Daphnia pulex: one gene and its partner. The protein of the gene in region 2 purifies or fractionates together with the protein of the main gene of each other region. This does not show direct contact. Links are inferred from orthologs where the notes say so. Each region holds a gene or a part of one and is shown on either strand. Other genes may lie near its edges.

Region 1 (4,581 bases), about 320 kb from region 2:
CGTCTTCTGTAGGATTAGGTTTCTGACCAATCTCTTCCATCATATGATTCAAATTCAACTCTTCAAACTGGGCATAGGCATCAAACACCTGTCGTAAATCAGAAAAACGTTAACTTGATTCGCATTAAATAAGACGACCACAAAGTATTTTACCTGTGTGAAGTCTCGTACTGTAGTAACTGTCTGAATGGCTTCTTCGTAAATATCTCTTGCTCTTTCAAACAAACCACTTCTAATATAGTAATCGGCAAGGGAATTCCAAAGCTGGCCAAGTTGATCAGTGTACCTACATAAGAATCCAGTAAATTATTCCTATGTTTGTAAAAATATTTGCATTTAATTTTTTTCCAGACACTCACCGTCGAAGACCTCCTCGAATGATTGCATCCACGTTAAGACTTTTAATTTGCTTGGGATTTTTCGAATTAAGTTCGCACAGTTCATTCCACAGTTGGTGGTTTGATTTTCCTGTCTTCGAAACAAAGCTGTCCTTGTTCACAATCTGGGCAAGTTTAACAGCTGCCTCATCAAGTCTGTCAATAGATTTTAAGTAATCGACAAATTCCTCTGCATCTTCGGTCGATAGTTTAAGAAAACGACGGAAAACTCGAACAGCTGTTTCTGGTATTGGATGCATTTTAACAAACTTCAAGTAGAGGGGCCAAATTCTGGAATGCTGGGTGATTGGCAAGGCTCTTAGAGCACGGTCAAAGACCTTTCTCGTAGTGGTAATCTTCTGTTGAAGAGTCAGAAACTTGCAATAGTCCATCCAAATCCTTGGCATCTATGGTATTCATTAAAAACATGGTATTTAATAATGTGTGATAATAATATAATTGGCATTTAAGATACCTTGTGCATGAATACCAATGCTCTTTCAAAAGTATTGTTGGCATCTTCATACAGTGGATCTGTTATACAGCGACCTTTAGTTTGCTTCCTTCTTAGGCAGAGATAACTGTACCATAGTTTGTAACTGTGAAGAGACAAACATGTGGATAGTTGAAAATGAGTACAAACTTATTTACTATGTACTACTACAAGAACCAATCAAACGAACCTGCCAGGCATTTCCTTCAAAGCTCTCTCATAAATCAAATTGACAACAACAGGAGGGGCATCCTTTTTGAACTCGCAATAGCGAAGCCAATGTTTGACAGAGTAAGGGTTCCGTAGAATCTCCTCTTCATACGCTAAATCTTCTTCACACTTTAAAGACAGAAGACATATTGTTAAAACCTATTAGTCAACTTCAATATAAAACAATGTATTATTACCAAAACAATGTCTCCAGTTTTCTTCCCTATACTTTTATCCATTTTGTTTATGAATTTTCTCGCAGCCACTCGGCTCAAATAAAATTTAACAAATAAATTTACGAACCAAACGTAAATGCACGTCTGCCGGGTGAAGTGTTGCCAAGTTGCACACTTACGTCTAACCCAAATTAAAGTTGAATTTTGTCCCTAATAGCGTCTTTTTATATAACGAGATCATTATAAAAATGGATTATCACAAGTTTTTATAGTAAAAATACCTTATTTTTGCGTTTGATGTGAAACAGCGACAGCCGACAAGCCACAAGCGTACATTCGCTGTTGTTTGTCCCCTCAGGCCTAAATTGAAGTGGGGTCTTCTGCTGTTTACAACCGAATATGGCCGACACTGTCCGGCACCCAGATGAGGCAGATAATTCTAATTCACAATTCCCTTATTCCTCGGAACAGTTACCAGATGAATACGTGAGTTTAAAAAAAAAATTATTGTTCGTCAACTGAAATTGATACTTGTCTCTTTTTTTTTCAGGGCGATGATGGAAAAATCGACCAAGACACCACCGGTAATGGAGAAATGTACGAAATCGAAAATGAAGATCATATTGCCATAGACAGAAATGACGGAAATACGGAATACGCTGGAGAAGGCTATGGTAATTTCATGTACATTTTTAATTATGGAAAAGTTCTTCAACTATTATCCCTTGTCTCTTTCCCTGTGTTGAATCGCTTGTCTGGTTTTCCCATAACAGTTTTAACATCCTGTATTTTCTATTGTAAAAGATCCAGAAGAAGCTGCAGAGACTAACGAAGAAAAGGATGAGAGACAAGATGAAGATCAAGACAATGATGACGATGAGGATGATGAAAGTGATGATGACGTACAAATCACGATTGGTGACATAAAATCTGGCCCAGCAGCTTATGCTGGTTTTAATGTCAAAAGAGGAACAGCTGGAACAACGGCACAAGGATTGGGGGAAAAGAGCAAAGTATACATTGAGCTACATCATGTTTGATGCAAGAGTTTGTTTTTAACATATGTATCTTATCTTAAGTTCACTGTGGAAGAGTTCGAAGGCTCAATGGCGATTAACGGTGTACCAGCACATGAATTTAGTTTGGATTCGCTGGAAGATAAACCTTGGAGGAAGCCTGGTGCTGATATCACTGATTATTTTAATTACGGTTTCAATGAAATAACGTGGCAAGCATATTGTGAGAGACAAAGGCGATCCCGTATGGAGTCTGGGGCTGGTGTTCCGGCTAGCCTTGGATTAGGACCCCCACCCAAGGTAATAAAATACGTAAACAAATGAAGCTCAAAGACGATATTATTATTTTTTGATTCAGATGATGGCGACCCCGGCCCAAGCGATTCCGATATCAGTGGTTAACGAAAATTCAAAATATGCGGGGTCAGTGGTTGTGAAAAAAGCAGGCCCTCCGCCAGCACGCAAAATGGCTGGTGCCATTGATGTCATTGGTGGAGGGAATCTATCTTCACGCCGACCAGAATCAGGCGTTTCACCTGCTCCTTCTATGGAGGAGCAACCTCCCGAAGTGGTAAGGCCCCGTATCCTTAATAAAATATTCATCCAAAGTCAACCAAAAAACTTTAAAGTTTATTATTTAAATTTCATTTTAATATCAGCCTGAAGCTCCTGTGGAGAAACCTCCCGTATCGATCGATTTCTCACGTCCTCCTCCTGGTTTTCCAAATATGGCTCTACCTCCTCCATTTGGTATGCCGCCACCAGTAATTCCACCACCAATGATGTTACCACCACCACCTATAGTACCTGATCCCTACGCCAATGAGTTCATGGCTGGCCCAGGAGCTCCTGGCGATGATTATTACCAATACGAACCTACTCAGGATTCACAGTGGGGATCTTCGGTAAGGATTTTAAAGACCATAACAGAAAACAAAACAAAATAAAAATAACTTTTTCCTCTTAGGACTGGAGAGGACCACCACCTATGGGAATACCACTACCAATGGGAATGAACCCACCGGGAAAGCAAAGAAGAGAGAGCCTGGGGACCCCTCCTGTTCCTGGAGAAGAATCTCGGTACTGTATATAAGTGGTACTCGATCTCCGTACAGCATTTGATTAGCTCTTCCTTGCAAATAGGATAAGCAGCAGCAGTCGAAGGCGCCGTAGCTCGCGCAGTCGCTCCCCTAAAGACGACCGAGAAAAAGAAAAAGAAGTGGAAAAGGATCGAGGCAAAGACAGAGAAAGGGATCGTGACCGCGATAGAGACCGAGATCGCGACAAACGGTAAGAGGAAAATCAAACGTTGACGAGCTTCTTCTGAAAATGCAATTGATATATTTCGTTCAACTTACACAGGGATCGACGCTCGGATAAGGACAAAGAGCGTGTAAGTGGCCGTGACCGGGAAAGAGATCGTGATCGTGACCGAGGAGAAAGAGACCGTAGTGATCGTAGACGTCGTCACCGAGGCAGTAAAAGTCGGAGTCGGAGTCCCACTTCTCATAAGCGTTCCTCCAAGCGCTCAAAGAGGGACAGAAGTAAAAGCAAAAGCTCGTCTGATTAGTTTTCGATACTCGGATTTCACTCCCTGCCTTTGTTAAATTTTGCGCAATTGGCCCAATTTAAAAAAATACACTCCTTTTTTCATTTACCTATTTTTGTTGATTTTCCTGAGTTATTCGTCTTAATCACAATTTATTTCAGCCCATCGAATAAGATTCAAAAAGAAAAGATTCCAACGCATATATTCGGGATGTATTTTTTTTCAAAAATGAAAGAGGGTAAAGTCGGTTGCACAAAGAGTGTGTGCTATTACGGAAATACATATGGAGGTGTTGTCTTTTTTCCAACCACAGAATTTAATATTAAAAAAAAGGAAAACTGTCTTTTCGATGGAGAGATTGAAAGAGAGAAGCGTTGATTTTCCAGAAAAAAAGGATTTGAGGAAGGAAGCGGATGTGGGATGTCGAAGAGCGAATTCTGGAGGGGACGATTTTTTTGTACATGAATCATGTTTACAAGGGGGGTGGGATAGGGGAGGAAAGAGCACTAGTGATATTTTTTACAGCATTTCGTAATTTCAATACATAACACCAGCGTTTACAAGGATACATTCTAATAATAAAGGTCGAAATAAAAGCCAAAATCAGGAAATAACTGACGCAAAAACCAAGGGATTGTAGGAAGGGGAGAGCTACACAAGAAAAGAAGGGACAAATGTCCAAAAGGAAGTTGGTGAGAATTAAAGAGAAAAAAGAAACAATTCACAAAATATTGGTCCGTGTGAGAAGAATCCACGGGAT
Region 2 (4,545 bases):
ATTTCTCGGAAGTAGTCGATTACTCTACAACAAATTTTGAGAAATGTTCCATTAATAAAATTAACCAAAGAGATATTCTGATAAATTCTGATTACTTTTGTTGAGGAGTAAATTTAGTGTGAGTTTTGTCTTCTGTGGGTCGACTTTCTTCGGTGTTGGTATCACCGTAGAGATAATCTTCTTCGTCATCCATTTCCCTTAATTGAACAGAGTTTATCAATATTTCCTTCCTAAATTTAAACTTAAAGATATCTAGCGTATACTTTTTAGCATTTAGAGATTTGTTGGCCGTATGCAATTTCGTGGTTTCCGGCGAATCCGTTTCCGGGATAGTTGTGTTAAACAAACCACTAATGTCACGGTATAAACAGACGCAAACGACAGGAGAATTCTGAATCAAGAAAATGTTAAATTTCACATTCTTCTTTAAAACACTAAATTTCCATTCTAACCTTAGAGAGGACAGGAAAAATCATTTCGAGTTGAGATCCTTCGACAAATGTAAGAAGACCGATTCGACCATTCTCAGTCAAAACAGCAACATAGGGATCCGAAGCCGATGCCGAAGTTATAAGGAAGTCGGAGTCCATTACTAATTCCTGAAGAACGGTTGCAGCGGCATCAAGTAAACGTACGCTTGTAGGGCAAACTTGAACAATAAATCTATTATTTCCTAGATTTGCTGCCAAAATAGTAGGGCTAGTCACGTTAAACCCTGATTGATCCATTTCATTAATTTCTTGTCCGGTTTGTAAAACCTAATAAGAGAAAAAAAATTATTTACCGTTCAATAATTTAACACGCCGTTTATAACAATAATATTAACCATTGTGGAATCAGCTCGTGAAAGTAGCAAATATGTATGCATAATAGCGTCTTCATTATTACGCGAAGCAAACACAGTGAACATGTCACTCACTTCAGGGAGCTCAAACGTCGTGACAACCTGGATTTCAATTTTAAAGATAAAATTTTAAATATTATTTAAACAAAATAGGAAATTATTTCTAATGTCAGTTTTAACCTGTGGTTTCATTGTACGCTGTAGCACACAAATAGCTCCATTCTTTCCATAACCAGAAGTAGTAACAATTTCAACATCAGGATCTGGACTCTTTTTATCAAAATCAGTACAAGTTGACGCTGGTTCACCTACTGCCATCTAAATTTCCATAATTTATCTTGATTAAATTGACAGTTCAGACAAAGTTATAAAAGTATTACCTGTCCACAAGGTCCAATATTGAGGAGGCTGTCACAAACCTCAAATTGATAACTAATGGCCTTACTGTCAGTCGACTCATGATCTTCTCCATAGAGGTAGTTGTCAATCTCCTCCTCGTCTAAATGATCCAATTCCTTGTTTCAATAGAAATTTTGTAATCTTTTTATTTAGGAATAATATTTAAACAATAAATGTATTGTCTACCTGATCAAAGAGCAAACTGAATTGCTCCATCTTAGGTTTCTTTGCAGCGAAAGGAGTTGCATACTGGTTGTAGTCTTTAGTCTGAAAGGCCAAGAGCAACGAATTGCCAAGCCGTGAGCCGAGAAACAAGTAGTTATCGCAGATGCATAGACAGGTAGTCAAGACACTGGCGGCGGCTTTCTCAAGATGAAACTTGCGTACGGACCGCATACTGTCGGCAAACAACGTTAACACGTATAGTTCGCCACCCTTCAGTGAAAGGACAACTCGGTCGTACTGCAAGAAGGCAGCTCGAGCACAGTCAAGACCTATCCTCGAGCCTTCGTACGGTTCTATTGCGATTGAATTTTATTAATAATAATTTAACTATAAAATAAATCAGAGGCATCTACTCACTCAAAGGGAAGCTGGTGCAGTGGTCCGCAATGCTGTTGACAGACACTCCGTAAGGGGGAACGCTTTGATTTACATAAATGACTGAATTAACCGCCATAATTAAAGCCCCACCTAATGGCTTGGGAACCGGTAGTAATTGAGAGCAATCAAATGGAAGACTGTTCAATGACCAGATTATCGGATGGACACGCTGCTGAGTGTTTAACGACACAGCTACCATATTACAAGTATCCTGGCGGACTGCTATTCTTCCTGGAAATGTTCCTACTGGCTCATAGAGGATGATTAAAGTGGGCTCATAGTAGCCATGTAAGAATTGCACATCAATCACATTGTCCACTCTTTCTTCAAGATCTGTAAGCTTGATAATATACGAAGAAAGAGTAACATTGCTATCATGAGCAGAATCCTTGCGAAAAGGGAGAATAGCTAATGTGTTGCGAAAAATTAACAAAGCAGCACATCTTCCTTCAGGATCCACTCGAATTTCTGGTATTTTGTGGTTACTCCCTATTCCTTCATCTAAAATTGAAACAACTATCATTATTCTGGGTCCATGTAAGCTTTGCACAAATTTATTACTTGCCTTCAAAGTTGTGAAGTGATAATGTTTTCAGGTTATCAGACACAGGGTCATATTCAATAAGACTAAGCTTGGCGTGAGCGAAGCTCATTAGTATTGTATCTTGAGACGATCCTGGGAGACTGACTGCAGCAATTGACATAACTTTTCCAAACAAATTGTAAGATGCTAAGCATTCTAACTTCATTTTGGGAGGTTGGCCATCAGCGCTTTCTTTCCGTAACATTTTTTCATCTGTATTTGGAATAAGCCGGAAAACTCGTAACACATTTGCACCGGCAACCACCAAGTTCTTTTCTTTTCCGCCATAGAAACGGCAATATATCGCATGCTCTACGCTAGTTGCAGGATATGATTGTTTGAATAACGAGAACATTGTTATCTCTTTTGTTGTTTACAAAATCAGTTTTATTTCAAATACTGAAACGTTTTCATTACAATAAATGAGAATAAAAGTTCTAAAAATTTTGACATTCAGCGTTATTTTCGTCCGCTGTAAAGCTTTCAACGTTGACAAATCGAATATTTTCCATAGAACATGTATGTCGGTTCTTTTCTATTTTACGGTCATTCATAAATTGGCCTATTGCTCGTTTAAATTTATCTCGTTCATTGAATTTAATTATGATTCGTGAATTGCTCAATTTGATGAAATTCTGCGAATTCCTCTAATAAGAGTCCGGCTCCGGCAACTTGCAAAAGTTTGCCACTGGCACTGGGGGAAAAGAAATACAAGATAAACTAGCAGACAGCTTTGTTGTAAACTGAAGTAATAAAAACGGAAAACAACAACTTTGTGGGCTTGTTTTTGTTTTATTGTTTGCTACTGCTGATTCTCAAAATAATTTTATTCAAGATGGACAATCAAGTTTGTTTAAGGTGGAACAATTTTCAATCAAGTTTAACTACGACATTAGAGATTCTGTGGGACGAAGAATCCTTTTGTGATGTGACCCTGTTTTGCGGAGGACAAGAAATTCGAGCTCACAAAGTTGTTTTGAGTGCTTGCAGTATGATATTTAAAAGTTTGCTTAAAAATAATACTTGCCGACATCCAATAATAATTCTGCATGATATTAGTCTAAATATTTTAGAAGCTATTCTACAGTTTATTTACAAAGGAGAAGTCAATATAGAACAAGATCAACTAAACAACCTTCTACGAGCAGCAACTTTGTTGCAAATTAGGGGTTTGGCTGGGATTGCAGAAAATGAAGTTGATTTAGAAAATCAGCTCTTAAGCAAACCAATGAAAACTGGTCTCAGTCAGAATTTTCCAAGTTCTGATTTCAGCCCTGTCAAGAGGAAGAAGCCCAAAGTCTCATCATCACCAAAAGATAATGACGCTGAACCTCTTTTGGTTACACCTAAAGAAGAGCCATTAAGTGAAGAGGAAACATGTGGCAGTGCAATTTACACTGATGAAGTTTATGAAAGACCTGATAGCTTAGTTGTATTGGACAGAAAAGAGGAGGATGAGTGCAGTCATGGTGTTATTGATGTTGACCCTTTAGTTACAAAGTCAACCAATATGCCATCAGCTGTTAACTCTTCTGTTGAAATGATTTCTAATTCAAGCCAAGGTATTGTCATAACATTTTTGCAAAATGTTTAATCGAAAGTAAATTTTTTTTTTCCCCGAAATTTTCCAGCGGTTGCCTGTAACAACATCCAGTTTCCTCCCTATCCTTGCCCTTTCTGCTGTCGTGCTTACGCTACCTGGGGTTTCAGAAGACGTCACATCAAAGCTATTCACACTACGAGTCCAAAGTTACCATGCAAGTGGTGCAGCACTGTTATGGCGTCGCGAGGAGACTGGGAGAACCACGTCATTGACGAACATCACTTGAGCCGATCTGAAGCTGAACAAGGTCTCAAGGTTTTGGAAGAAGCACACATGGTTCTCCAAACTACAAACATTGCCGACGATGTTCTCAAAGAAACTGCTGACCGTTCGTTTAGATCTAAAGATAAAAAGTAACAATTTTAAAACTACTGTGTACTGGTATCTCAGCTAACTAAACTCTTATCCATAAACGGACAATCTGTAGTCAATCAAGCGACGGAAGTCTAATAATCTTTTTGTGTGTGTGCGTTTTACACCTCTTTATTATGAAATGGTATTATTATGAATCTT

Evidence for each region.
Region 1: the proteins of cleavage and polyadenylation specificity factor subunit 1-like (region 2) and pre-mRNA 3'-end-processing factor FIP1-like fractionate together in Homo sapiens (co-fractionation; 8 studies listed by BioGRID and IntAct, with this or other methods). This does not show direct contact. The link is inferred for Daphnia pulex from reciprocal best matches to the Homo sapiens genes CPSF1 and FIP1L1.

Annotation. Positions count from the first base shown.
Region 1 is NC_060020.1:2,901,467-2,906,047, reverse strand, and holds pre-mRNA 3'-end-processing factor FIP1-like, read left to right. Parts: upstream 1-1,582; 5' UTR 1,583-1,655; coding exon 1,656-1,742; intron 1,743-1,806; coding exon 1,807-1,930; intron 1,931-2,060; coding exon 2,061-2,269; intron 2,270-2,335; coding exon 2,336-2,572; intron 2,573-2,630; coding exon 2,631-2,843; intron 2,844-2,931; coding exon 2,932-3,177; intron 3,178-3,239; coding exon 3,240-3,352; intron 3,353-3,415; coding exon 3,416-3,562; intron 3,563-3,634; coding exon 3,635-3,842; 3' UTR 3,843-3,929; downstream 3,930-4,581. Other genes in the region: pre-mRNA-splicing factor syf1 homolog, read right to left, coding at 1-88, 154-286, 360-784, 853-976, 1,061-1,209, 1,278-1,319.
Region 2 is NC_060020.1:3,223,088-3,227,632, reverse strand, and holds the start of cleavage and polyadenylation specificity factor subunit 1-like, read right to left. Parts: upstream 2,915-4,545; 5' UTR 2,785-2,914; coding exon 2,412-2,784; intron 2,348-2,411; coding exon 1,826-2,347; intron 1,762-1,825; coding exon 1,430-1,761; intron 1,360-1,429; coding exon 1,225-1,359; intron 1,163-1,224; coding exon 1,025-1,162; intron 947-1,024; coding exon 827-946; intron 759-826; coding exon 453-758; intron 392-452; coding exon 264-391; intron 198-263; coding exon 96-197; intron 25-95; coding exon 1-24. Other genes in the region: modifier of mdg4-like, read left to right, coding at 3,265-3,991, 4,061-4,389. UniProt on the Homo sapiens protein: Component of the cleavage and polyadenylation specificity factor (CPSF) complex that plays a key role in pre-mRNA 3'-end formation, recognizing the AAUAAA signal sequence and interacting with poly(A) polymerase and other factors to bring about cleavage and poly(A) addition.